Linked DNA regions of Tamandua tetradactyla. The protein of the gene in region 4 interacts with the protein of the main gene of each other region in a pairwise test. Links are inferred from orthologs where the notes say so. Each region holds a gene or a part of one and is shown on either strand. Other genes may lie near its edges. The genes, in order: OTUD4, EXOSC10, MORN4 and EXOSC8.

Region 1 (6,941 bases), on a different chromosome or scaffold from region 4:
CGTGAGTGTACTTTCATTACTGTCTTGTAACACTAGAGAAAAGCACTAAGATTCCAACACTGGAAAGACTATTCACATGTGAAATAATCACCATACAATCAGACAGCCAATTCAACAAATGAAATTTAGCAAAATGTCTTTCACAGTAGCTATGTTAAACATTATTATGAATCAACCACAGTATTATCTGATAAGACTTTTCCTGCTGTTACCAAAGTGAAGCTAGTCCTAAAACCATTACCTAGCAACAGGTGGCAGACATAAGGGCTCATTTCCCATCAAAAACAATGGCAACAAAAAAAATAATAAAGGCAAGTGTATCTCATTTTTTTCTCTTCTAAGAAAGATTTTGGCATATGAAATCAGAAGCACAATCCTCAGCAACATCCACAAAGTGTGGAGGCACGGGTGCTTTATAAAGCTTTACAAAGCAAGAGAAACTCTTTTCACTGCAAGAGAAGCAAGGTTAAATGACAACTTAAAAAAAATGATTGTGCAAGTTTAATTCAGGAAGAATTAAAAGGGTTTGACATATACCTATCTTTGCAAATTATTATATGCATGAAATGAGCTAGAACTACGAGATTTTCCCATCTTAGAACAATATAGTGATAAAAACTGGGAAAGGCTAAGGCACACTGCTTTAGCAAGTCCTCTTAAGAGTGGCCTATTTTTAGTTCCATAACTGTGGAGCTGATTGAGGTCAAGCCTCCTGCAGGCCGAATTCTACAAGTGCAAAAAGGGAAAGGCCTATCTTTCCCTATCTAAATCAGGTAATGTGGAGGGAAAGACTCCTCCTAACTCAATCTCTCTAAAGACTGCCTTTAGATTACTTACTCTGTCTCCTTCTTAGAAATGAGGGATATTTATATTGACTTCATAGGAGAAATAGTTGACAAAAAAAACAAAACCCTTTGTACACATTTTATAGGAGGAGCCTGAGGCCACTGTTATTTCCCTTTTCCCATATACACTTTGCCTTTGGCTATGATTGCTATACCCTTAGTCCAAGTCTACTTTAGAAGTGGGGTGCTCCCAAGTTCACAGTGTTGAGCTTTCCAAGCTCAGTACTAAAAACCATTCACATAATTGGAGGATATTTCCTTATATCTAAGGTAAATCCTAGTACAGTAAGATACACCAAAACAGTGTTATCTGATGTTAGCAATGATTCCTTAGTCTAACTAGCTGATGCCCCTTTCTACTAAGAAAAAAAATTTTAGAGATCCCATTACAATAATTTACACGCCTCTGTATAATCAAGTTTGCAAAATATTTATAGCAAGTAATGGTGAAACCAGATACACCTTTCTGTTTCAATATAAATGACAGCCTGGATAATCCAACTCCAAATACACTCCAAACTTCTCTTATTTCAATTAGTTTCTACCTCCTTCCTTATAAGACTCTTGCTACAGCTAACAGTATGTATAAATATGGGCTGAAATCACTCCCACTTCTTCCCCCAGCTTCTAGAGGTTCTAAGGAGTTCAGGGAGTCTTAGGAAGAGGAAGGAAAAGGGGACGGAAAATTAATACGCGCATGCGCGTATGTGTATGAAAGAGAGAGTACACCACAGGAACACCAAACATTCCATTTTCTAAAAAGCAAAACCTAATGGAATTGAAAAAGATGGAGCTTGGTTTGGGGAACTTTAGGAAGAAAGTTTGAAAAACAATACCTGTAACCTAGTGAAAATGGCTTATACTTGTTAAATCAATTGCTTGTTTAAAGAAAAGATTTTATGTCACTGAAGTGAAAACAGCAATCTTTGGAAAAGTGATGACTGGTCTGTGAAGTTTAAAAGAAAAAGAGGATGGACTGCTCCCCAGGTGTTCATTAAGTAAAATATTTACTCATAAACAAAAACCCTGAAAGCTAACTAGCATTCAAAAAAAAGGTGAGAAGATCATAAAAAACTCATGGACAGGGCACAGATTTTAAGCAAACTGAAAGGTGTGAAATACAGACTACAGCAGTAATGTAAAACTTTTACCCAACTACTTCAGTAGTTCTTTTTCAATAAAGCCAGATTTTGGTGACTGCACACCTACAGCTACACATGTATTATACAGCCTGGAATAAGCCCTTTCAAGGAACAGAAGCACCGCCCTAAGCAATTTTGTGATTTTGACCACTAACAGGGAAACATCTGGTCAAGGAGGGCCTAGAGGCTCTCCACTTACGCCGTGCCTACTACTAACACCAAAACAGTAAATTCTTTTTTAAAAAAAGAATTCCGTTTTTGTGTACTTACACTGTCTTGCAGAACGTAGTGAGAGGGGGAATTTACTCAAAGACAATTTTCAAAACCCTGTTTTTCTTAAGTGCGCTTTCCCAAATTGCAAATTTTACCCTCTTGATTGAGTGACATGACATCGGAAGGCTTGAATACCCCACATTCCAAAGCCTGGTAACAAAAATACACATATTCCACGAGGAAAGTTTGATGCGCCACCTCCTCCAGGAAACATCTGGTTTACTGATGTGAACGTTATGCTTAGAGAACGAAGGGAAGATGAATGCGGAACAAAACAGAAAATTATCTGTTCACCAAGCCTGCAAAGCATACAAACTGTACATGGCTCAGAGCAGGCCTCATAAGTTGTCGTCGATTCATTACCTTTTCAACAGGAGAGGCGACACCCAGTCATCTCACAGGCTTTTACATTCCGGTTTATAGCTCTAAGACCTAAGGCAGCAACCCGTTCCGGCGTTACAATGGGCCGCTATGACGACAGCGGCGCCACGCGCAGCCTCACCCGGCGGCCCGACAACTGCCCGCGGCCGCACCCGCCTCCCCTTGACCCCCGCCAAATTATTACCTGTTCCGCCACGGCCCGGAAAAGGCACGACCCGTCCTTGGCGATCAGTTTCCGATACAAGCCCAGTTTCCGCAGATAAGCATCCATGGGCGTCGCGTCCCCGCGGAGCCCCGCGCCGCCCTGGTCCCCGCCGTCGGGGAAGCCGACGGTCGCTTCCATGTTGCCGGTGCTCCTGCAGCCCAGGCGTGGCGCGGGCTAGCCCCACATGGCCGCGCCGCCGGCTCCTCGACGCCCCGGCCTAGGGCAGACGGCGGCTCCGGCTCGGGCTCCGCTGGCGGCGGCAGCAGGCGGCAGTGGCCCGAGGCACCGGTCCGCGCTCTCCGGGCGCATAGGGGAAGCCCTGCCTAGTGCATGGCTGTTCGCACGCGGCCGCCTGCCCGGAGGGACCACGCGCCCAGGCGGAGCACGTTGAAAAAAAATTAAAGAAAAACCCGAGAGTGAGGAGTCACTTCCCTGTGGCCTCGCCGCCCGGCTCAGGAACTGGACAGGGCGCGGGGGGTCACCGCCTCCACAAGTTTCCTCGTCCCGACTGGTGTGAGGCGAGCAAAGCCCCGCACGGGCGAGGGCGCCGGGCCGGCTGAGGTGAAGCGAGGCCTGCGTCCCTCACGCGTTCCCCACGCAAGCAGCCGAGGAAACCAAAAGAGAAAGAAGCGGCCTTTCGTTTCCCCACCTCGCGGGAGGACGCCGGAGGGGCGGGGAGCGGGTGGGGGCACCCGAAGGAGGGTTGCACCCTCGCAGCCCAGAATTTGTTTTCGCTTTCCGCCCGACAGCGGAGAGGTCGGCGGGAGGTGTAGTTTTGGCAGCGGCAGGAAGTCGGATAGCGGCGGGTGAGGACGCGCGGACCGGCCTACGCGGAGGAGGCGCCCGGGAGGCTCGCGGACTACAAGTCCCTACAGCGCCAGCGCCGGCGCCGCCTCCCGCTTCCCGGGCCCCGCGGCCGCGAGCAGGCCCAGGGTCTCCGCGAGCCGATGCGCGGCCGCCTGCGCGCGCCGCCCGGGCTGACCGGCTGCCGGCTGCTCCGCGGTGCCGCGCAAGTGCGCGTATCCTGCGTGCGTGGAGTTGCCAGGGACACTGCGGCGGCAATGTCGGCCCTTTGTGTATTTCCAGAGAGCGCACCTGTTTGCTCCCCTCCCCCGGCCTACCCTCCTGGCGTTTCCATGGAGGTGGCTTTAATGGCTTAAGCAGAAAATAGAGCTAATTGGCGAAGGCTCCTGGAACTGGCGGCGTGAGGCACGACACACGCTTTCCATAAATCAACCGTGGACTGATGATTCCTTTTAGAAATTAGAAATACTGCTCACGCATTACGGCGAGGTGATGACTTTGCCACAGACGGTTTTGTCCATCGCCTCACTGTAGCTGTGCCCCCAAACACGCAGACAACTAAGTCAGCGGTCAGAAAAAAGTTAAAATTATTTTATCCTTTCTTAAGAAAAAAAAAAAAAGTCCTGTAATTGCTTGATAAGGTACCAGACTTGCCATGGGTTTTAAGAGCGCTGAGGCTTCCAGCTCAATTTCCTACCCTCCAAAGTTGAATGACGAGGAAATTGGCAAAGCAGAGTCAGAGGCTTTAGAACCCGGAATTTATCCAGCATACTTTTTGGACGCCAGAAATTTATTTTGCTAAAATACAACAGCGTCTGGAGTCCTTATTTAAATGTGTTTAATTGTAGAAACTGCTCCAAGCTTTGAAGCCTTGGAGGGAGAAGGGAAAGTAGAGGGATTCTATAGGTTTAGACAGGTAGTAGAATAAGCACTTTGAAATAGGGCCAAGGGAGGCTAAATGGTGAGTGTCTAACATAAGTTACATAAGTGAAAAACATAAATGAAAACTCTCTTAGAAATGTATTTCCAGTTCTTTAGGTACAAGCACTTACGTAGTAGTGCGTAAATTTCCCTTGGAGCTTCTAAATTTTGATTTCTTAATATTTAAAGAGTCTATTTCAAATTGTGCTGTTTTCAGAGAATACAGACGTTAATCTGACCTACGTGAAAGGATTTCTTTGTCCCAATATTAAATTTTTTACAGATAGTATAGAAACACTTTGGAATCACTTTCAGAAAAATCTAATTTCAGATCAAATCTGTTGCTTTTCTTTCTTTGAGTATATTTACATTGCATATGCTACTCATTACACTATCTTAAAATTGCCAAGTATTGCCACTACTCACAACATGGCTTGCCTTTTAAACCCACAGAGGAATTCAAAGTAATGTCTGAACTGTAGAGTTTTAATACTGAATTCCAGAAATGAATAGATTCTATCTCACTAATTTTATAAATAACATACTTTCTGCCATGACTAAAGAAAACCATGGCTTTCCAAGCTTTTATTTTAATATTCCTTCAATAAGTTCTGAAGCTAATCTCATATTTAATATATATTTATAGGAAACGAGCTGTATAGAACATGCTAAGATTTTATGCTGAATATCTTGAGAATATAATAGAAACTTGTATTTCCTGGTATTTCACATTTCGAAGTTTATCAACCCTTGTTTTGTATTTGAAATGTCATGATTACATTACTTTAATTTTAAAAAAGAGTTTTCAAATAAAAAAGATTTGCTCACTTTTATAAGTTACATTCATGGGAAACTGGCAGTGCTTCAAGCATATTTTTATTTTATGGATTATCCATATTTTAATCCTATTCAAATGTGCTGACTTTTTAAAAAATAATGTTATAACTTCTAAAACCCCAGAACTCCCTAGAAATACTTCAAAAAGAAAAGGAAACCAAACACGTTAATTCTACACTTTATTTTCCATTGCAAAAAATGTAATCCAAAGACAAAAATATTATCAATATAAGAAGACATGATCATTTAAATAAATTGTAACTATTCTGGTAGAGTCTGGCACTAGGGCTTGCTTTCAATATTTTTAAAATGAATTACTAAATACTAAGAAAACAGAGGCCTTTATCAGTTTACCACAATTCTATACGATCTTATAAAACTGTGGTTTGTTATCTGAAGGAATAACCATTTCTACTCTTTCCTAGAGTTGATGTAGTGCCAAAAATTACTTATTGTCCTCACCCTTGCTGAATGAATGCAGAACAGCCTCACACTAAACTGGCTGCTTCTGGTTCCAAAATTAGAAGTCATGCACCTGTTTTTCTGACCCAGGGGCCTGTTTAAGGAAATCCTTTAGGTATTTTGAGACCTAATCCAAGACAGACCCTCTGTATGCCAAATCCCCAAATATAGCTCAGTGTTCAACCTAGATTAGAGGATCCTAGGACTTTAAACTGAACCAAAACTTAGAGAAAGTCTCTTATTTTCAAAGGCCCGTCATATGTTAACATTAACATTTGAAACTTATCAAGGGACCAGCTCTGATTGAAAATGTTCGTTTGGAGGAAGCCACTTCTGACCTGCCAAAATTCAGAACTTCTTTAAACAGCTATCATTTTAATCAAATAAAACCTAAAAGACTGTAATTCCTGAGAACCAAGTAAAATTAATCAAATTCACCTTATGTCAACGTGTCAACCAACTCTTCTTGTACACAATCAATACCTCAAGTCGGTTTGTTTCCTCTGACGAACTTTGGGACTAGAGACTGATTGCATTGGACTGAATTGTTTAAATTTTTATTAAAAAACAGATTTTCTGGATTTTTATTTTCCTAATAGGAAATTAGGTATTGAGGTAACCAGCCTCTAAAGATGGTTACTTTCCAATGATCCCTGCCTCTGGATATTCACCACCCCTCCCCAACCTACCCCGTCCACAAATTGAGTAGAGCAAAAGTGATAGCATGTCACTTCTGACATCATAAAAAAACATTTGCAGCATTTGGATTGCTCTCAAATACTTTATTGGTTCACTCACTCTGGGGGAAGCTAGCTTCTATGTGCTGTGAGCAGACTTAGGGAGTTTCCTTTGGTAAGGAACTGAAGCCTCTTGCCAACATCCACGTGAGTCAGCTTAAAATCAGACTCTCCAGGCCAGTCAAGCTTTCAGATGACTGCAGGCCTGGCAGTCATCTCAGCCGCAACAACATGAGAAATCTTGAGCCAGAAACTTCCAGTTCTGAGATTCTTGACTGAGATTCTGAGCTTCTTGATCTAAGTTGTCTGAGATAATAAACATTTGTTGTTTTAA
Region 2 (7,863 bases), on a different chromosome or scaffold from region 4:
TAAATAATTAAAAACACCCCAGAAAGCATATATTAATTACAGAAGTATTTAGAATGAGGATGATGGTTGTCTTGATCTACTTTGTGCTATCAAAGCAGATGTGGACTATGAGTTTGGGCACCACAAATGAAAATGCACCAGATGATGGATCAGCAGTGACAGAACCTGAAATCACAAAATACAAAAAATAGCTGCAAGATCTGTGGACATTTAAACTATAGAAGATAGTTTTCATGGGACAGGAGAGCATAATTTCATATAGAAGATAGATTTCATGGGACAGGAGAGCATAATTTAAACATCTCCAGTATCATCCCATGGCTAAAGGTTAGATTTATTTTAGACAATCTCCGTGTATTTCTGTAAATAACATTCTGCTGTAGAATTGGGCATAAACAGATGGCAAGCTAGTCTGAATGATTAATATCTTCTTCCAATCCTGAGAGTCAAGGTAACGATAAGGTTTTCAATAACAAAGTAAAAATGATTAAATTTTTATTGGGTTGATAGAGAGGCTGCTTCTCTTGTAATACAAAGGTGGATTTTTAATCAGCACCTTAAAAGAGGCCTCTATGGGGCAGTAATAATTTGAAGTTATTCATACTTAGTTTTGTATAAAAAGAAACCACTGGTCAAAGGAAGGGAATGTTATTACCAGTAAGAAATTGTATATTTATTTCCTTATTTTCTAAGGTACTTGGATTGCTCTTTATTTTTAATCAGACAAAAACTCTTTGTTTGTTAGTTATCATAAGAATAAGAGAATACTCACCACTCTTTCCAGGATGACGTCATTAGCATCAACTAGGAGATCAAACTTATCCTCCAATTCAGTCACTTTGCTTCGATCCTTAATGCTGCTACGGCACCCATGGTACTGCATTACTCTGCTCATGCTGAGGGAGGGACACCCAGGTAAATGTGTGTACATTTATTTATTTGTTCACCATCTGGAAGAAAGCTCAAATGGCTTGGCTCAGGCTGTTCCCAATGCCTTTTCTTCAAATTAATAAAATCTGTACCGTTATGACAGTCTTCAAAGAAACAGCCAGTTGTGTGGCTTTGGGCAATTCCCTAAATTTAGCTAAGACTTACTTTCCTCATCTGTTAACCGAAGGGGCAGAAGAAATTTCTGATTTCTTTAAATTCCAAAAAAAGTATGATAGTATGTAAATAAATGTACATTACATTTACTTCATTCTTTTAACATGGCAAGTCTAAAGCAGTTTCTCCAACTCTTGTCATGCAAAGGGTAAACAAAATTAACGTTTGTACATTAACTGTCCTAATGTACTAGGTAGAAAGTTAATATGTGTGACTCTGCAAGTCATGGGACTAAGAAACCTGGATCTAAGTTTTCAAGGCCCATATTAATTCAGTTAAGCTCTGTTATGTATAAGTGCAAAAGTCAATACATTTTTTAAAAATTAAACTCAAAATTTACCAAATAACAATTTCCTAGTCCTCTTGGCTATTTTTTCACATTTTGTAGCACTTTATAAGCATGGAAGATTATGGTAAGGAAAAACAAATTTCAGGAAAAATCTACCTCTTTATTTTCATTTCTTTTATTAACTTGGGGAAAGAATGTATGGTACTTACCACTGAAGCAATCTGTCTCCCTGTGTTTCACAAAATGCCTGGAAGCCAGGAAAACTTCGGTAAAAATCATACTCATCACCAAACTGTGGTAGGCCCCCAGATGCCTTGGTAACTGCCACCACTGACCCAAGAGCAAACTGTCAAAAACCAGAAAAGAAGGCGTTTTAAACACAGATCCCCATCCACTTGGCAATCATGTCTTGAAGATCTACAACACATGGTACCTTATGTTAGATGCTAAAGATAGCCAATCTTCATCTCTCCAACAGATCTCCATTTAATACTGACTCTACTCTTTAGTCTACTAGGCCTTGAGGAGACAAGGCTGAACACAAAACCAAGGTTCGGACCATACATCTTGAAGAGTGGGGAGAGACAGAACAAATGGAAAATATGAAAAAAAATGAGACAGGAGGTGGAAAACGAGTCAACGTGGGGTATGTGGTGACTTGTGAGTGTGAACTCCACATGATCAAGACCTCAGTTAGTGGTCTGCGAGCTACTCAAGGCCAAACAAATAAAATTAATAAAAGTATCTACTACTAGTACATTAGATAATATGAATGGAATGGGGGGGTTAAGTAATATTAACTTCAAATTATGTTTCATGGCTGCATAAGAGGCATGCATGACGTGTTTAAACCTAGTTTTATTTTGCTCATCTTTAAGCTGCATTACACAAATAATTTAAATGGACCCTCTCTGTTCCTTCCAGGAGTTTCCAATCTATTCTGAGATATTGATAATTAGAAGAAAGACACTCGACGATAGCTGTATCTGGGCTTTGGGGATTACGTAGGGCTGGACGTCAGAAGAGGGAAGAAAGATCCCGCCGGTCGTGGGAAGGGGGGCCGCCGGGCAGACGTGGGAGGTGTAAAGCAGTCAAGTTCCCTCGGAGAGTTCGCCGGATGGTTCAGGCACGGGCGGGGGCGAGGTCGCCGAGGGCTGGAGACATCAGGGTGACGAGAGAGTTTTCCCCAAGGTGTGGAGAACGCTCTGCACAGTAAGGGCTGCAAGGCCTCAACTCGGGGAACGAGGGCTCTGGGAAATGGAGCGTCCCTCCGTTTCCTTGTCCGGGGCCCCATCTCCGGAGGAAGACACCCAAGAGACTCTGCCCAGCGAGGGGAGAGGCCCCTTGACCCGCCCTGGAGGCTCCGCTGCGGGACGCGCGCGTTGCCTGCCGCCTACAGGACCTGGGCCTGCTTCCGTCCGGCCTTGATCTGCTCCCGGTGCCTCCGAGGACTTACGAACTCACCTTCACGAAGCTGTCGGAGTCGGGGAAGCCGGGCAGCACCATCTCCTCGTCGGACTTGGTCGCGGTTGTCGCCGGCGGGGACCTAGGATCTCGGGGACTGGGAGGCGCCATGTTTGCGGACTTTACGGCGCTTCTCGCGAGAGTGTCACGCGCCAACGCGACGTGTACGCCGGACGCATGTGCAGAGGGGAGAGGGCCAGAGGGGTTTCAGTTGGGTGAATAACCCTGAACGCCCACCCCGAGAACTTAAAAATTTCCTTTAATTTCATATTGCATCCTCCTAACGATCCTCTGGTTTAGCGAGGGAATCGGCGGACCCAGTCATCTCCTGTGTAAAGCTAACACCTTCCAGGCCCTGGATCCATGCCCCTCTCCACTTAAGATCTTGGCCACAGTCATTATCCCCGCCATCTGGCATCGTCATCTCTCCCCTCGCTCCTGGTTCATTCCTAACAACACAGCCCTAAGCTGAAATCTCTCCCAACTAAGAAAGGGAAGACACCGAGCCCCCACCTTCCAGGCCCTGCCATATTTCTCTTACCTTTTTTGTAGGAAAACTTCTGGAAAGAGTTTTACGCTACCGCTGTACTTCCTAGCCTGCAAACGTGCTTTTGAACCGTTTCGATTAGACATTCTTCTCGTGCATCCCACTGGAACCTGTCTTGTTAAGGCATACGATGCAACTCAGCAAAGACTTGTTATGAGGCAGGCACCGCTTTGCTAGGTAGCTGGGGAATGGGGGAAAATGGATTCCCGGAAGCCCTGTGGAGTGAATTGCGTCTATGTGCACAGAGCAGAGGTGGTGTACCCTTAATAGATCTCATTTGACTCAGTCAGTGTTCAATAAATGTTAGCAATTATGGTAATTCAGGATATCCTATCAATAGGACACTTGTTTTTCACTTTTTCTTTCCTAGTTGTGTACTTCAGGTACACAAGCACCCTGAAAGAAGAAATGCTTAGTTCATTTTAATGACTGATATTTTTGAACACTTATTTCATAACACAACATTCAGGCTGTGTGCTAAATGCTCCACATGGATTATCTCATCCTCACCCAAACCTTAAGAGGTAGAGGTAGTATTAACCAGGTTTTCAGATGAGGAAACAGCACTGGTTCAAAGTCACACAGTATGAAGTGGAGTTGAGATTTGAAACTAAATAATTCGATGCTGCAGCCTTGACTCTTGAAAACTACTTTATAGTAGTTTTTATTTTAATTTTTATTGACAAAACAACACAACATACAAACATGAACATTTTTAACCTGTGAATATTCCATTCTTGGTGTATAATCAATGACTCACAATATCATCACGTATTTGTGTATCACCATGATCATTTCTAAGATTTCTTAGAACATCTGCATCACTCCAGAAGAAATAAAAAGAAAAAATAAAAAACTCATACATACCAGACCTTTTACCCGCCTCTCATTGGCCTCTAGTATTTCCATCTACACAATATATTTTAACCTTTGTTCCCATTTTTTTCTATACCCCTTACCACTACCTTTCATTGATCACTAGTATTTCAATCTATTGATAGTAGTTTTAACCCTAGGAACGGAAGGATCTGGAAAGTCATTCTTTGCACACCCCTTTCTTCACACAGGGTTACACAAAACCATTCAGGATTGATGGGTTAATTAGACTGTCTTTAAAGACCTCCAGTAGCTCTTCACCTGTCTCTGATAATTCACTTCAAAACCAGAAGGTTTTGCTTAGAAATCACTTAAAACCCATTGGATTCACCAAAGATCTTAATCCCAATGACTCTCAAACCCTGAGTATGTCTCTACCACTCATGGCCACCATTTTCCTGAGTTCACCCATCCCCATACCCTTTAATTTTCGTAAAAGGTAACATCACTGTAGTCATTGCTAGTTACTTCATCTCAAACCGAGGAGGTCAGAACAAATCAGACTTGGTTTAGGACTCTTCTAGAAAATTTCAAAAAAGAATGAGACTTCCTCACTGTGAATATTGAAAACGTTATTAGTATCACTATTGAAATTTGAATGTATCTTTGTCTTTAAAAGAAAAGTCCTCCAACAAATTGTCTAGGGCTAGGTTTTCTCTCAGATTTTGTGGGTGCAATGACACCTATGATGTGGTTCCTGACCTTGTGATTCTCAGGCTCCCCATAATACAAGTTCCTTGAACAATTTTTATACAAAACAGTGTTTCTCACTGAGTAGTTGTGGACAACAGAAATTTAGAGAAAAAATTTCACTTAAACAATGTCATGGTTAGGGAAAGGTATCAACTTGGCCAAGTTGTGGTACCTGTTCATCTGATTGGGCAAGCGCTGGCCTGTCTGTTGCAATGAGGACATTTCATAGGATTAGGTCATGATCACGTCAGCTACATCCACAGCTGATTCCATTTGTAATCAGCCAAAGTGGAGTGTCTTCTGCAATTAGTGATGCTAAATCCAATCATGGGAAGCCTTTTAAGGAGGACTCAGAGGAGACAGGTTGCATTCCTGCTTTGGCTGGTGAGCCTCTCCTGTGGAGTTCATCCAGGCCATCCATTGGGGTCATCGGCTTCGCAGCCTGCCCTGTGGATTTTGGACTCTGTGTTCCTATGGTCACGTGAGACACTTTCATAAATTTTATATTTGCAAGTGTTCCCTGTTGGTTCTGTTTCTCTAGAGAACCCTAACTAATACAAACAACTAAAAAATAAATTTCTTGGAAGAACTTCTCTTTAGGTATGCTCTTCAGAGGGAATCTATAAGTAATTACCTGATCCATTTAATGTTCTCTCCTCCCCAGCATTGCAACACCCTCTTTACTGGGCCTTCTGGCTTCTAATTTTCTTTACATCCATTTGTCACTACTTGCCTTTTTCAAAATACTATTAGGATTCTCTTCCTGTTTTAAAAATTTATACGGGGGTGGAGTGCAAGGGTATTTCAGTGGTAGAATTCTTGCTTGCCATGCAGGAGACCTGGGTTCGATTCCCGGCCCGTGTACTTCCCAAAGCAACAAAGAGAAAAAACAAACAAAAAATTCATCAAATAATGCTACAATCATGGGCTATTCACATGGAAAAAGAATGAAATGTGATCCCTGCCATATAGTACACACACAAAATCAGCTAGTTCCCTGTTGTTGACAGCTTCAAGCCCAAACTCCTTGTCATTGAGTTTTTCTCCACTGACCCCTGAAGCCACACCTGCTGAACTATGAGGACCAACCATATGAAATTGCCATTTTTGTATATAAAAACTGGTTGAATACCTGCAGATTCATATGGTTTAAGCTAATACTTGCCATTCCTGCACAATATTGTGCATTCATGGCTTGATGACTTGCGCTTTCTTTTCTATTGAGGAAAGCTCTCACTCATTCTTCCAGACCATCCATGAGACTTTCCTGGCTAACCCGGTGGAGTGAGTGAGCCCTCCGTGGCTCACACTCTGTTCACGGCTCTTCTCACCACTTAGCTAGCAGTGGAGTTATCCATTTATTTCCTGTTAGGCCGTCTCCACCTTCTCTGGCCTGTAGACATGCTGAGCAAAGGGACCACGTCATGTATACCCATGTCATTTGTTATCCTTGTACTAAGTGCTTAATGAATGCTGAATGTGAAGGAATAAATGCTTTTTTTTTTTTGAACTCTCTATTAGGAATAAAAAGCTACCCATATGTGTGTTTTAAAATTCTGATGTAATTTATTGGCACAAAAAGTATCAGATACATGGTGTCTAGACATGGCTATACTTTATACTTTGTGCATTTAGTTTAATATTTATTTTGTTCATAATTCCCAACCTGTACTAGACCTTCCCTCTGTGTTCAGCACCTCCATGACAGTATTTCTGTTTTTCAAGCCTTTGCTCTAAACAGAGTATACAGAACTCACTGAAAACATCCAAGATCCAGGCCAAGGAAGGCGGATTTGGGTCACCCCATTGCACCATGATCCCCACCCTGCGTTTGCTTGGCAGAACTGTCTAGCAATAGCAATAAAGTCCCCTCTTAGCAGCTCAGGTCTTGGTTTGAAGTGTGTAATTTGCGGCGTCACTGGGTCAAGCAGAAGACAGACCCTTTTCACCCATTTTGGCCCATTTTGCAAATGCTGTTGATGATGTTGTGGTTGTTGTTGTCCACGGACCAGTGAAATCATGGGATGGGAGGAAGTGATGAAGTCTGCTCCTCTTGATTTGTTATAGTCCAGAATCCTCCTATGTTTCCTCCATGACCTAAAGCTTCCTGACAGCACTAAGTCTGCTGTATTGGGTTGAGAGGAATGAGTAGGCCATTTTTCTACCAGTAAATGCATATGATGAGTTCTCTTGTGAGTTAAGTCAAAACCCGTATTTCTAAAATTATGGATCTTCTGTTCCCCAAAATCAATGGCTTGATTTATGTGGCAACACTGTTTTACAATCCTGGGAACGAAATCAAGCCTTGTGTTTCCGACAATATATTCTTCAACAGCAGCTAGAAAGTTGGTTCAAACCAACTCTTAATATACAGTAGTTATTTTTTCATTTACATTTCAAAATATTTAATAAAGTCAAACTTTTTGACCATAGTTTCAGTTTAGTGGAAGCATACATATACCAAAGTACAAAAGCCTCACAAGAAACACTGTGGGCGTGTCTGGGCCTCCAGTTACCAGAAAGGACACCTAGGAAGACAGACAGAAAAAGGAATATTTTAATCATAAGAGCTTCTTCAAAGCTTTACACAGATACAAGGAAAACAAAAAGATCAAGGTCTGATAATCCTCAGGACACTCCCTGAGATTTCCCACAACTAACTGTGTGAGGCATACTCATCGCTTCCAGGCCAGTGCTGATGCCTACTGAGGTCCCAGGGGACACGTCCCCTTTACCCTCTCTTCAAGCATGCCTCGGGCAAGTAATCAAAGCGGAGCCCCGAGTGGTCCTTGAGGTTACAATCCCAGATCATAAATTTGTCTTTTCGTCTCCTTCTATCACTGCTCTGGCTTCTTTTCCATTACCCTTCCTGTATCGGAACTGACAGCAA
Region 3 (7,162 bases), on a different chromosome or scaffold from region 4:
AACATTTGACAGACTGATTAGTATGTGCCTTTGGGAAGGTCTATTTGGATTTATTCTATTTGGAATTCATTGGGCTTCTCTGATTTGCATAATTATGTTCTTTATAAGGAAGGGTTGAGAAGTTTTTCCTCAGTATATCCTCAACTAACCTTCCTAGCCCTTTAGTCTTCTCTTCTTCTTCTGAGACACCAATGATTCTTCTATTTGTGTGGTTTGTTTTGTTCAATCACTGCCCTGAGATCCAATTCATTTTTTCCATCATTTTTGCCACTTGATCTTTTATGTGTTCAAAATCAATTGTCCTGTCCTCTAGTTCACTTATTCTTTCTTCTGCTTCTTCAACTCTGCTGTTGTTTGTTTCTAGTATATTTTTGATGTGGTCTACAACATCTTTAATCTCTGTGATATCTGCTATTTTTCTCTTTATTCTTTCAAATTCCTCTTTATGCTCTTCTAGTGTCTTTTTGACCTTCTTTATGTCATTAGCCATCCCATTAATTTTATTTAGTAGAGCTATATGAACATCTTTGAGTAGTTGTTCCAAAGTCTGTGTCTCCTTTGGTGTTTTAATTTGGTCATTAGGTTGGGCTGTATGTCTGCATCTTGATATGTTTAGTGATCTTCTGTTGCCTTCGAGGCATGTCAATATCTTAATAAGTGACTTTGGAAGTTGATTTCCTTTGGTAGTCTAAAGCTTTGTATTTGTGGGATGTATGCGGAGCAGGATGCAGGGATGTGGTGAGGGCACAACAGCGCTGTGATGGGTTGCAGCTCAGTATAGGCCCAGGTTGGGGACTGGTGCCTGTGAGCATTGGGTGCTGGGCAGGGGTTTGGGTAGTGGGGTGCAGGGGCCTTGGGAATGGGGTGCAGCTCAGGTAGACCTTGGAGCGCAGGGGCAGGATGTGGTGCGGGAGACACAGGGGTGGGGTGTGGCAGGAGACAGATTGGGGGTGCTGTGCAGATGCACTGGGGCTGGTGCACAAACAGGATGTGGGTGGGGATGTGGAGGCCGGGATCCTGAGTATCAGGATGTAGGGTAGGTGGCACAGAGGTCATTGTTCAGGGAGAGGGGTCCAGGGGGGCCGGGATGCAGATTTGGAGTGTGTAGGGGCGGGGCACAGATCGCTGGGGTTGCAGGTCGTGGATCAGCAGCCGGTGATATCGTGGACTGGGCCCTGGGGCCGGAGCGCAGATGTGGCGGTTGGAGCAGGGGTGCACTGAAATCTCCTTTTCACTTTCTCTTTCCTAGGCTAAATGCTGACAATTTTTCCTCCTCCCCTTTTAACAAAAAGTTTTTAAAAATCCCTGCTCTCGTGCCACTTAGTCCACTTGGTCTGATTTCTCCATGCTTATTTGTTAACTGAAGAAAGATACCGTTCCAGAGACGGTAAACGTAAGGTCAGAGGCCGCTACTGTTTTATTCACCCCTGTAACCTCAGTGTCTGCAGACAGTAGGTGCTCAGTGAAAGAAAGGAAGGAGGATACAGGCCGTGACCTCAAGCTAAGGCCACAGCCTCTGGGGCAGTTGGAGAAACAGAATCAACATTTTTTTTCTATTATAAGAGTTCACCCATTGGGGGCTGCAGCCAGAGAGTCAGCGAAGGCCTTAAGTGGGGCATGTGCTATTCACTGAATCTTGAAAGAAGAATGTAATTAAATCACTGGAAAAGATTGAGGAAAGAGGGCACACCAAGCATGAGTGAGTAACCCGAGGATCAAAAGAGGAAGGTTAAAGGATATAGAGAAGAGAGTAACCTGCTTGATTCAAGGGGAAACAAGGCTGGGCTGGATTACCAAGGGCCTGGAAAGCCATGAAGAGAAGGCATCTGTTAGGTGAACAGCTGCGGAGAGCTTTAGAGAACAGTTCTTCACCAGGCAAGTGATCTGGGGTGGACCAACTCCAGACCCAGGCACCAATAAGTAACTCTGGAATAAGTAAGGGTGGCATCTTTGAAGACGGATGCATAGTTGGAGTAATTGCTTGTTTAAATCCATGGACTATTGTTATGGTTAAAATTTATACTAACATTACCTCCTAAAGTTTAGAATGTAATGGCTATGAGCATGGGCTTGGAAATCAGACAAATCCTAGCTCTACACTGACTACTTTGGACAAGTTACTTAACTGCTCTAAGCCTCAGTTTTATCCTCTAAAAAAAAAAAAAGGAGTGATATTGCTACCTCACTTGTTTAAAAAGGATCAAGATAATATATGAAAAGCAGATAGCATAGTTCTTGGTACATAAAAAACACCAAAAAAAAAAAAAAAGAGTAGCATTTTTCACTGCTGAAGTTATTGTTGATATCATTTTGTTTTATGCTTAAAGTAACCAGTAGACTAGAGGTATGGGTTTTCACAGAAGACAACTAGCTATGCAGTCACCAATACTTCATAACCATTCTTTCTTGAATCAAAGTATTGCTACAGCTCACTAGAAGTTGGAAAACTGTTATTTATTTGTACATATGATAATATTTTAAACCTTTTTTTGCCAAATAAGCCATTCTAGGCAAAGGTCCATACAAGGGATTCCATTTCCCTTTTCAATTACAAGACATAATACTTTCATTTCCTACCCAGATATCAAATAATCAAGAGATGTCTGTTTCTTGTGTCCCAGGGTCCAAAGTCACATTGATGCTTTCTTGGTATCTTTCATATTATTTAGCCCCTGAGCTTCAAATTATGGTCAAGGAAAAGTTCCAACATTTAGGGTTCTCCCTTGAATTCTAAGGTTTTTCTCACTAGAAAACCCTGAGAATTTTTATCTGCATCTATACTTTAGAATTTGATTTTCCTTTTACTAAAAAGAATGAAAATACATTCCCGATTACATATGCAGAGCTAGTACTTACTGAATGGTGTGCATGTGCCAGACATGTTCTATGTGCATGATAGATTAACTCATTTAACCACCATAAGAGCCCCTGTGATGTTGAAAATTGATACCTCAAGAGGTAAAGCAACTTGCCTGTGGTGACACAATTGATAAATGGCTGGACCCAAATTCAGGTCAGACTGAATCCAAGAATTTAACACTGTAGTTGCTTCTTTATTAAACATCACTATGAAATGTCTTGTATTCACTCCCTTTCTTTCCCTCTTCACTGATGCCATATTAGTTTTGACATCTCAGGATGCCATAACTACATTACTTCAATAGCTTCCGAGTTTGCTTCTCTGCCTCCAGTCTCTTTCTCTCTGATCATCTCTGGGTATCACCTCCATAGTAATTTTTTTAAAACACCAGTTTCATTATGTCATTCCTCTGATCAAAATATATATTTTAGAAACCATGTCTTCTCCCTAATTTTCAGATGCCTCCATAATTTGGCCTCACTCAACTTACTTACCCTTATGTCCTCATATTTTCTAATGTACATTCTCCAATCTAATAAGATCCATTTCCTTGACAGTACTCTCAACTACTGCAATTATATTTAAGATCAATACCACACAATTTAGCAAGCTTAACGATTGAGTGTTAAAGCTGGATTGAAGTTTATAAATCTGCTAATCCAATCTAATTTTACAGGCTGCAAAGCTTAATAACTTGCTTGAAATCACACACAGTTGGTAGCAGAGCTGGGATTTGAACACAGTATCCAAAATCTTTTTTTTTAAGTTTTTAATCTACTATTTATTGAATATTGGCTGTCTCAGACATAGTACTGAGCATTTTACATTGCATTTTCATACTAGTCCTAGAGAGCCTTTATTGTAATTAGTATCAATTTCCGTTCTACAGATGAAGAAATCTCAATTTAGAAAAGCAGTTTGCCTACTCCTTTCATGTGCTTGACTTCTCTTAATTATTAAATGCAGTCTTTGATTTTTCCATGTGCAGGAGTCTTTTCTTCTACATATTCAGGCAGTAAATCCATGAGCACGGCGATCATGTCTCTTCTAGTCTGACAGAACCTAACACCTTGCTGTACTCATACCTTCAGTAAATAAATATGTAGATTAAGGGATTGATGTGTATGATATTGGAGAGGGTTTGTTCCAGTCTTGGCATACAAATGGTCTGGGTAATAACAGTGACAACAAAAATCCCTATAACAAATGCAAAGGTGTTCTTATATCACAATGCCTGGTATAGGGTTGAGACCCGTTAAACAGCAGTTATCCTACCCAGTGCTTTACAATTTACAAAGCTGCACTTCTAAAACCCGATATAGGTTCTGTCTTTAAACTCCCGGGCCAGACCTTTTAGGATCGGAGCCACATGAGTTGGTGTTCACTGTTGCTACTGACCCAGATTTTGTTTTGTTTGGGGTTAACATCTCGGCTAGGCTGTCCGTGGATAGACGTGAACTGGATACCTGGGTCACGGCGGCGCATCCGCGTGTTCAGCCCCACCCCTCATTCATATAGTTGGCCCAGACTCTCGGAACACTCCGCCCCGCACAAAGATGGCGCAGAAGCCGGCTGGCCCAATGGAGAGTGGCGTTGCTCCTGGTTGCCTAGGTAACAGCCAATGGGAAGCGGGAATTGTGCCCAGTGCGGCTGCCTGGGATGGCGGCGTCAAGTAGGGAAGGGGGTGGTAGAGGTTGTGGAAACCAAGGTGTTTGGGCAGAACCCGGCGGAGCTAAGGTCCCGGCCGCTGAAGCCCGGAGCCGGGGCCTGATAGTCGTCCCGAAAGGTGGGGCCCAAGTGGGCTGGCAGCGCGGGTGGGAAGGGACCGGGAGGATGGGCTTAGGTGGTCCGAGCAGGAAAGGAAGAGTCTGGGGAGCGGGGCTCCATCCCGTTCGCGCTCTGGAGGCCGGCTGCGCGTGGGGGTCCCAAATCCGGACCTCCCTCCTCGACTGCTGGGGCCGAGGCCCTGGAGCGCCCACGGCACCCAGGTGAGCTAGCGGGGAGTGTGAGGGCGTTGTCGAGAAGGAGTGGCAGACCTGTGAGAGCAGAGGGCCCGGCCGGGATGGGAGAGCAGAGATGGGGAAAAGGAGTGGGGCTCGAATGCAAAAAAATGGTGGAAGAAGGAATGGGGAGGTCGACAAGGAAGTGCCGTCACGTTAAGTCTAAGGCTTTGTCTGCGCCACTGCCCGCCTCTGTCACACCTGGGTGGAGAGACATCCCTCCTGTGGAGGAATGAGATACCGGAATGCCTCAGTTAGTTGATGGGTGGTCTCCCGGCAGTCTAGCATCTCCAGACTGCTTGGGGACCAGCGGGAGTAATTCTTTTATTAGAACGGTCTCCTCTCCCAAAAATTAGAATAGTATTTTGGGAGTGTTACTCATTCTCCAGTTCCCTCCCTCCTCGCTTCTCTCCCTCTCCCTCTTCCCCTCTCCCCTTCAGTCTTTTTTTTTTTTTTTTTCCTGGTGCCAGGATTTTCTTCGCACTTTCTTCAGTCTAACCGGCCCACAGTTTTCCTGAATAAGATCTTTAAATAGTAATGATACATTCGTTTACATTTCAAATGGGGGAAGGGGGAGTTACACTTATAATAAAGTTAATTCAAGCTTATTTAAAAACATTTGAAAAGGAACATTTGAGTCTTTGTTCTAGGTTCCTTAGAAGCATAATACTTACTCATCAAAGCCTTCATGTTCTTCTCTTTAGGATTCTCAAAACTCAAGAATTGCTCTCTTTCATAACTGAAAGGGGAACTTTGACCAGACAGTCCTAAGTTGTGTGGGGAGGGTGGCGTTAGAGGGACAGTATGTACGCATGTGTGAATAGTTAAGGTGGGACTGCTTCCGAACAATATTCTTTGACTGAAAGTCTGTTCCCCTTTAAGGTGTTTGTTTTTTAATTCTCTCAGTTTGGATATAGGTTACTGTGAGGGCATACATTTTGTTTAAGTTTTATTTCTAAAAAAATTTTTTAAAAGACACAAATAGAAGGGAAACGGAAGTTCTCTTTATTGTCTCAGAGTCCTACTTGTAAATGTATGGGGCAGGAGAAAATGAAGCTAGCAGGGATGTAGTCTGTGGTGCGGACTAATAGTGTATTGTTACTGGTTTATAAAGAAAAAATAGTAATTTTCTTTTAGGTAAATGTTTGGACTGATGCTTTGCAGCCCATCATGGAGGGCAGAAGGGGTGGGTGTCTATTTAGAAGTGCTGAATCATCTTGGCTTTGTAACTAGATTCCATTTGTATATTTGCAGCCTAAATCTCTAGGCCATCTACTCTCTTTAAAAAGATTATTTGATGGGTGCACGGGTGGTTCAGTAGTAGACTCACCTTTCATGCACAAGACCCGTGTTTGATTCCCAGACCATGCACCGCCTCCCCCCGCCAAAAAAAAATGTTTATTTGAATAACTGATACAAATACTGATTTGCATCCCTTGCTGAAGTATTGATTTTTCAGTCTCCAACAACTGGCTATATTTTATTAAATTTGATTTGTCTCAATGACCGTGGTTATTGGTGAAATTCCTTTTTGTGTCAGTGCTTGTGCAGCTCACTATTAATTAGCATGATCAATTACAGAAGTCATAAATGAAAATCTCGATACTGTCCCAGGCAGTGACAATATCAACTATTTGGACAGATGTAGTAGTTTCTAGCAAATGTGTCCAACTGAGGCCCAAAGCCCTTGGATCCTATACATGTTCCTTTAATTAGCACTTCTGATTGTTTTGGGGGAATGGACATCATTTGGACAAGCAGGTGCTGAGGGGAATTTACTATAACTTCCTAGATCAAAAAAGAATGGAAGTTTGAAGTATGGATTCTTGAAAACAAACAGGAGAGGACATTGTCAGGGTTAGGTTGAAAGATGGTATTCCAGTTACTATTGCTACATAAAAAATTACCCTAAAAGTTAGCAGTTTAAAACAGTTATTTTATGATGTTCATGGATTCTTTGGGTCAGGAGTTCAGACAAGGCACCGCACCGTGAGTGTGCCCTCTCTACTCCACTAACATCTGGGCCCTCAGCTGGGAAGACTGAATTTAAGGTTGCTGTAATCATCTGAATGCTCCTTCACTCACAGCTGGCACCTGGACTGGGATTCTGCCAGTTGGAGAATTGCCAGTTGGAGCACAGACAGGTGGTTTTTCTATGTAGATTAGCTTCCTCACAGCTTAGAGGCCTCAGACTTCTTATTTGGTGACTCAGGTCTCTAAGCAGGTGTGTACCTGTGAGCAGGATGAAAGTTGCATCACTTTTTATGATGTAACCTCAGAGCACACCCTTACTTCCCCTGTT
Region 4 (6,870 bases):
TACCACAGCAATAGCACAGGTAAATAATGGGGTAATGGACAAAAGTTAAGGTTTAGATTTCCTATTTGGTGAGGGTGTGTTTATTGGTTTTCTTTCTCTTGGGAACAATGAAATCATCTAAAATTGAGAGTGTGGATGGACTGTGGACTTTGGACACTATACAACAAGCCCAGTAAATGCAGGTGGCTGAATGATGCGCTGACTGAGTATACTGGCGAACGATGATGGTGTATACATATGATCGAATATTGTGCTGCTACAACAAGGAATGAAGTCGTGAGGCATACAACGATGTGAATTAACCTGTGGGACATTTGGGGGGGCAAAATAAGCCAAAATGAAGGAACAATTATTGTATGGTCTCCTTCAGAAAATGCTTAGGAGAAAACAGGGTCCTAGACTGTAAGCTCTTACAGCAGACACATTTAGTCTGGAGTGGTAATTATTATTTCTGGATTTTGAAAGGCTGTTTTATATATCTATAACCTGATATTTACAGATAAGAATGAAGTTGATCAGGTCAGGATTAAGATAATTCAGAACACAGGGGTAAGGAAGACATTGTCTATATTTTAGAACTGCACCTACTCTTTAAGACCAAAGGTAGAAAGGTTTATCTTGTCTGGAATCTAAATTTTCTGTAGTCATCACCTAACTCAACCTGTCTGGATGGCTCATTTGAACAACTGAAACACAGCCCAGAATAAGAATGAGGGACTTTAATCCTGTACAGTTTAATGTAATGCCTGGGTACATCCTAGAGTATAATAAGATATTCAAAAAGTATTGGCAAAGTCCCCTGAGGAATGGAAGATAAAATATGGAACTATTAAACTTTACCATCAGGGAAACCCTGATACTGTGTCAAACATTAGGGACACCCAAATCAATAGGCCAAGCTCTTGATTTTGAGGCTCACTCCTGTGAAGCTTATGTAGGTAACAGAGAAACCCAGACTACCTATAGGCATGCCTAACGGTTACTTCCGGAGGACCTCTTTTGTTGCTCAGATGTGGCCTCAGTCTTTTTAAATCCAATTCTGCAAGTGAGATCATTGCCTTCCCCCCTACATGGGACATGACATTCAGGGGTGAACGTCTCCCTGGCAACATGGGAGAGGACTCCCAGGGATGAGTCCTGCCCTGGCACTGTAGGATCAACAATTCCATCCTGACCAAAAGGGGAAAAAGAAGTGTAACAAAGTATCAGTGGCAGAGAGAGTTCAAATAGAGTCCAGAGGATACTCTGGAGGTTACTCTTACCCAAGCATCAATTAGACATTGCTACCTACAGTAACCTGCCAACCCCCAACCAAAAACATTCCAGCCAATCCTAAAGAACACCTAGGGCATTGTATGAGATCCTACAAGGGTTCCATGCACTAGGGTAACTTTCCAGAAACCTACAACCTCCAGATCAGTCCCTGGACCAGGTAAGTCCTGAAACCTAGCCCAGTCTCTCCAGAACATCAGATAGTTCCATTTCCCTACCCCATATTACTGACAGCCCCTTTCAACATGAAAAAGTTAGAATGGCCATAGCCCAAATGCCCCTAAAGAGTGGGACAGAAAGATCAAAGGTGATAGTGGAGTTATACAGAGAAGGTAGGGTTTAACATTCAAATATGATTGCTGAACCATTAAACTGATATTTTAGTCTCCAGTATCTTAGAACAGCTAGAAGTAAAACCTAAAACTATGGAATTAAAACCCATACCAAACTCTGAAAACTGTTCTACAACTAATTGTGGTGCTGCGTTTTGAAATTCTTTTGTACGTATGTCATTTTTCACACAAAAAAGTTGCTTGTGATGGTAAAAAAAAAAAATTTATTCCTTCTAGCCTCCTACATTCTGAAGAGGATGGTACAGAAACTCATGACAAACTGTGGGATCTGTCCTGTAACTACTTACCGAAGAGTGCTCTGATAATTATTGCTTTTTTCTTTCTTTGCTTTGTATATATGTTATACCATACAATTAAAAAAAAGTTGAAAAAAAAGTCACTCTAACCTGGCAAGCATATCTTCGTTGCACTCTCCTGTAACCCACCTATCACGCTCAGCTGGAGAGTACGTCCTTGTTGCACTCTCCGGTACCTGACCTCTGTCACTCTCTGCCTGGGGAGCACGTCCTCATCGCTCCTGTAACACACCCGTCACTCACGGCTGGGGAGCACGTCTTTAGGGCACTCTCCTGTACCTGACCATTGTCACTCTCTGCCTGGGGAGCACGACCTCATCACACTCTCCTCCTCGCATCAGCGCGCACCACAGGCACCGACCAGGGCGCGCCAGCAGCAGGCGCGCCGCAAGCAGACACCGGCGCTTTTACTACCTCGGCGCGGAAGGTGTCTTTAGAGTCGTCATGACTTGACATGCCAGGAGTACCTTAAATCGACTAGATCCTAACATCGAAGCTGGTTTACTAGAAAGTGCATTTATCCCTAGACCACGAATTTCCCGAATTTATGCTCAAGATGACTGCAGTTCAGCATAACTGGTTTCTTCTGGAATCCTATCTCCTACTCCACTTAAAAACACTACTCCGGAGTCCACAGGCCGCAACGAACGGTCACAAACGCGGTTTTTTTGTCTGCTTTTTTTTTTTTTTTTTTTTTTTAGAAAAACCTTCCAGCTGAGGCAGGCTCCTTTCGGGGAGCGGCAGAGGGGCGGCGCGGGCCTCAGAAGGCCAACTCCCCGGTCGCGGCGCCGGGGCTGCGCGGTCAGCTCCACGCCCACAGACGCTCGCGGCGAGGCCTGCTCCAAGGCAGGGAAACCTACCACAGCTAGGAAGCTAAGGGAGGCGGCCACCCGAACACAGCGCCGCACCTACCAGGGAAGATAACACCGCCCGCGGCAGCTCACACTCACTTGAAGCCCGCCGCCATCTTCACGCCCGCGCGCATGTGCGAGTGCTGTCTGCGCCACTCACGCCCGTGCCACTCACGCCCGTGCGCATGTGCAAGCGCTGGGGTCGCCATCTTCCCGCCCGCGCGCATGTGCAGACACCGGCACCGCCTCTGCCAAGAACTGCCCCTCGCCCCGCGCCCGGGCCCAGACACGCCGCACTTGGGCCCCCCCCCCCAGGGGCCCGGCTGCGGTAGACTTGGAAGTTCGTGTGAGTGCGTTTCAGAGCAACAAATGTTCAGTCTGTGCGTGTCTCAAATACAGCACGGAAACACATATTTTTAAAGGTTATTTGTTGTTGCTCTGAAGCTTAAATCTAAGTGGGCCTCAGTGTTTTTACTAAACCTGGCACCTTCCTGGGGGAGCGCCCGCCTCCTGCCCATCTGAGTGTCACCCTCAGCGCCGCCATTCCCCTCAAGTGGTTTGTGCTTTGCCCTCCTCGCCGCGCGGTGGCGCTGTGGCGCTGTGGCGAGCGGGACGCGCGGCGTCTATGGGCGTGGGCAGGATGCGCGGTGGCGCTTCCGCGCGTGCGCGGCGCTCGGGGCTGGGAACATGGCGCCGCTCTTGCTGCAGCTAGCGGTTTTTGGTGCGGCCCTGGCGGTGGTCGCGCTCATACTGGTGAGGCGCGGGCTCCCGCGGCGTCCCTTCCCTTCTCCGGGTCTACCTCAAGCCTGGTCCCAGAACTGCCGCTCAGTTCTTCGGGTCTTTACCCCCTTGAGGGCTCCGTCTCAATGGGCTTCGGGGCGCACCCCCATTCCGCTCTCCAAGTGCCCACCTCAAAGCCCCCGACCCCCGGCTCACCCGCGCTGTCGGCCGCGGCGTCCTGGGACGCCTCACGCCTGCTTCCGCTGTGCTTGGGCCCTGCGGGTCAGGGCTGCGTCCCCAGGCACAGTAGTGCGAGTGGTGACGAGGCAGTGGCGGGAGCCGCCTATCAGAGGCTGGCGCAGGTCGCTTGCCCCAGGCGCGCTCGGGCACCTGGCCGCGTCGCGTCCCCGGAGTCTGGACTCCCTACTTTACCGCCTCCTTGATGGAATCCAGACCCCGATTTCTTTTGACATTGCTGTGGAAACACACAAATATTTTAAGCCCTTACTGACCCATAATTGGTAGAAAGGTTGACACGTGAATTTTTCCGGTATAACTTGGATGAGCGTGCCATCTGGTTGGCAAACGGAGAGAATCGTGTCTTTCTTGACTTTGGGGTGAGCAGCTTTTGCAGCACTGTCTACAGGCCCTTCTATGCTCTGCCCAGAGGATTGGTAAACTTAAAGCTCACCAAGTGTAAACTATTCGGAAAGAGAAAAAAACTATGCTCCTGCCCTGTGGGCAAGAAAGGAGTCCTCTCTTTCCAGTAGTAGTGGTTTTTGTTTTTTGTTTTTGTTTTTCACCGATTTGAGCAAGTCACGTTTTTGGTGATAGAGAATTTGACACAGTTCTGGGTTGAAACTGCCTTACATAGACTGCCTTGCAAAGATTTCAACTGTGCGTTATGATGTTGTATGAGAATATTTGACCCCATTTGTCTGCGCTGATAATAAGAACTATCATTTATTGAGAACTTACAATATGTTTGGTATTGTACTGTTTAATAGGGATTACCTCATTTAATCTTAAAGCAATACTGTGACATAAATGTTATGGTTAGCTTCATTTTACTGGCTGGAAAGATAAAGTCATGTGTTCAAATGTCCCAAAGCTAGTGAAACTTAGTCCTTTTAAATGCCAGAGCAGAACATCTTTTTTTTAAAAAAGGCAACAAAAAGCTAATCTTTCAAATATAGTCACCTTATATATATATGTATATATATATATATATATATGCTTCCTCCCCAACCCTCTTCCCTTCTGAATTATTTTGCAACATATCGCAGACACTATAAGGTTTTATCTGTAAATGCTCAGTAGTCTTCTCTAAACGAGACTACAGCAGTGTTATACAGGTTAAAAAAAAATTAACCATCATTCTGTAATTTCAAATGTCAGTCAGTTGCCATGTCATCACTTGTCTTGTGTATGTCTAGGTGTAATTAATTACAGTCAGCATTTAAAAGAGGTCCACTGTTCTGCTTGATTGACAAGTCTTCAGTCTTTTAAGATAGTTTTCTTGTTCTCTTTGATTTTTTTTTTTTTTTTTTTTTGGCAGGGGCAGACTCTGGGAATCGAACCCAGGTCTCCAGCATGGCAGTGAGAACTCTGCCACTGAGTCACTGTTGCCCACCCCTCTTTGATTTTTTAAAATCTGTTTTTATTGATAAATGTGACTATTACTCATGTGGAACTTCTCACAATCTTGATTTTGCTCATTGCATTTTCTTGATGCCATTTAGCATCCTCTTCTGTCCCCTGAATTGGTAGCTAGTTGTTCAATTGCATGTTTGATTTTTTTAACCAAGAAAAGCATGTGAATGATAGTGAATACTTCCTCCTGTAGCACATCAGGAGGCAGGCGATGTCTGGTTGTCTCTGGTGTTAAGGTTGATCAATGTTAAGGTTGTCTCCTGATCCACCAATTATAAAATTTGTCATCCAGCTAATGGTTTTAGCCATCATTGATGAACATTATCTAAATCTGTTATTTCATTAAGGTTGCCAAGTAGAATATCTTAATTGTATCATTCCTTCTTCATTTATTAGCTTGAATTCTATAACCAAAACCTTTTTCTCCTCAACCATTCAGTTCCTATGAAATATATAGTTCATACATAAAAGATAGCTTTAAAATAATGAGATGGTTCCTGGGTATCTTACGAAGGTGACCAATTTTTATTTTTAGTGTTATCATCGACTCATGGTTTTAAATAATTTTCACTGGTTTTGATCTATTACAGTCTTTCTTTTTGATGTTCAAATCCTCCTATCCCATGCCAGCGAGAGCCCCTTCAAGTTGTACTTCTGGCATGGCCTTGTCACTGCCAACAACTTCTTTGTTTTCCATGACAGGCTCTTCCAGTACGGTGCATTTCCTGCACAGACCCAAGTCACCCTCTCTTTAGGAACACCTTGTGGGAAGTTGCATCTCGAAACCACAGTCAGGAGTAGGGGTGCAGGGCAGGACCCTTCACCCTAATCTGGGTGCTACCTCATGCTCACATTAATCAGAAGCAAATTCAGTGTCAGTCCATACCCAGTGGGATATTATAAAACACCATCAAATTATACATGAGTAGCATTCAAGAATTGGTATAGTGGTTGTTTTGAAAGCAGAAGTGTACCAATAGAAGCAATGTTACTCAGAGTGGTTTATTTCCAGAGGTCACTCCCAAGTGCATATGGAAGGGAGCTATATTGCTAGGGTAGGGAGCTATAATGTTAGTAGTGCAGAGAACCTACACATTTAATGCTTTACTCAAGAAAATGCTGTATTCTGAGTTCAAATTTGGGATGAGTACCAGGACTATATCCTAAAGCATTACAAATCCATACTGTGGGGGCCAAGAGATCTTGGCTTTATACATTGGGTGTATCCCATCCTGGGTGAGAGGACAGCCCCACCTGACATGTTCCACATGCTGAATGCACTTGTCCTCTGTCACATACAGGCCCAAGTAGGGATCATCCTCACCATTTGTGTGCTACACATAGGACTGGGTCCCCTGAGAGTTGACTCGACTTCCTGTTGTGACTGTTCCCTATTTGATCTGGGATGGCAAAGCCCTGAGAGGCTTGGGTAGTGGTAGGTGGGAAGAAACAGAGCCTCCTGCACCATTAGTGCCCCAGCAGCTATCTGGGAGAAAAGGACAGTCATCAGTTCATAAGACTTACTCACTGTCTTCCAATTTTGGAGTTAGTTCCAGACCCTTTTTAATGGATTAAAAACAGAAAACAAGTATTTCCCCCCCCCAAAAAAAAATTAAGTAAACAGTGTACTTACTATAACATATCAAATGTTATAGTCAGTGTAATGATTTATTTTTTACATGTCTATATTTAGATATCCTTTGTTGCATTTGTAACTGCTACGAA

What was found.
Region 1: the proteins of EXOSC8 (region 4) and OTUD4 interact in binary tests that used the Homo sapiens proteins (3 or more experiments, as listed by UniProt). The two-hybrid records come from large-scale screens. The link is inferred for Tamandua tetradactyla from reciprocal best matches to the Homo sapiens genes EXOSC8 and OTUD4.
Region 2: the proteins of EXOSC8 (region 4) and EXOSC10 interact in binary tests that used the Homo sapiens proteins (3 or more experiments, as listed by UniProt). The link is inferred for Tamandua tetradactyla from reciprocal best matches to the Homo sapiens genes EXOSC8 and EXOSC10.
Region 3: the proteins of EXOSC8 (region 4) and MORN4 interact in binary tests that used the Homo sapiens proteins (3 or more experiments, as listed by UniProt). The two-hybrid records come from large-scale screens. The link is inferred for Tamandua tetradactyla from reciprocal best matches to the Homo sapiens genes EXOSC8 and MORN4.

The regions. Positions count from the first base shown.
Region 1 is NC_135348.1:22,905,181-22,912,121, reverse strand, and holds the start of OTUD4 (OTU domain-containing protein 4), read right to left. Parts: upstream 3,019-6,941; 5' UTR 2,985-3,018; coding exon 2,826-2,984; intron 2,752-2,825; exon of another isoform or gene 2,624-2,751; intron 1-2,623.
Region 2 is NC_135328.1:214,318,010-214,325,872, reverse strand, and holds the start of EXOSC10 (exosome complex component 10), read right to left. Parts: upstream 3,017-7,863; 5' UTR 2,969-3,016; coding exon 2,858-2,968; intron 1,740-2,857; coding exon 1,603-1,739; intron 897-1,602; coding exon 773-896; intron 1-772. Other genes in the region: serine/threonine-protein kinase mTOR, read right to left, coding at 7,486-7,501. UniProt on the Homo sapiens protein: Catalytic component of the RNA exosome complex which has 3'->5' exoribonuclease activity and participates in a multitude of cellular RNA processing and degradation events.
Region 3 is NC_135339.1:58,901,612-58,908,773, reverse strand, and holds the start of MORN4 (MORN repeat-containing protein 4), read left to right. Parts: upstream 1-4,159; 5' UTR 4,160-4,416; coding exon of another isoform or gene 4,417-4,471; intron 4,472-4,492; exon of another isoform or gene 4,493-4,848; intron 4,849-7,162. UniProt on the Homo sapiens protein: Plays a role in promoting axonal degeneration following neuronal injury by toxic insult or trauma.
Region 4 is NC_135330.1:102,572,549-102,579,418, forward strand, and holds the start of EXOSC8 (exosome complex component RRP43), read right to left. Parts: upstream 3,009-6,870; 5' UTR 3,000-3,008; coding exon 2,872-2,999; intron 2,360-2,871; exon of another isoform or gene 2,023-2,359; coding exon of another isoform or gene 2,012-2,022; intron 1-2,011. Other genes in the region: ALG5 (dolichyl-phosphate beta-glucosyltransferase), read left to right, coding at 3,460-3,525, 6,839-6,870. UniProt on the Homo sapiens protein: Non-catalytic component of the RNA exosome complex which has 3'->5' exoribonuclease activity and participates in a multitude of cellular RNA processing and degradation events.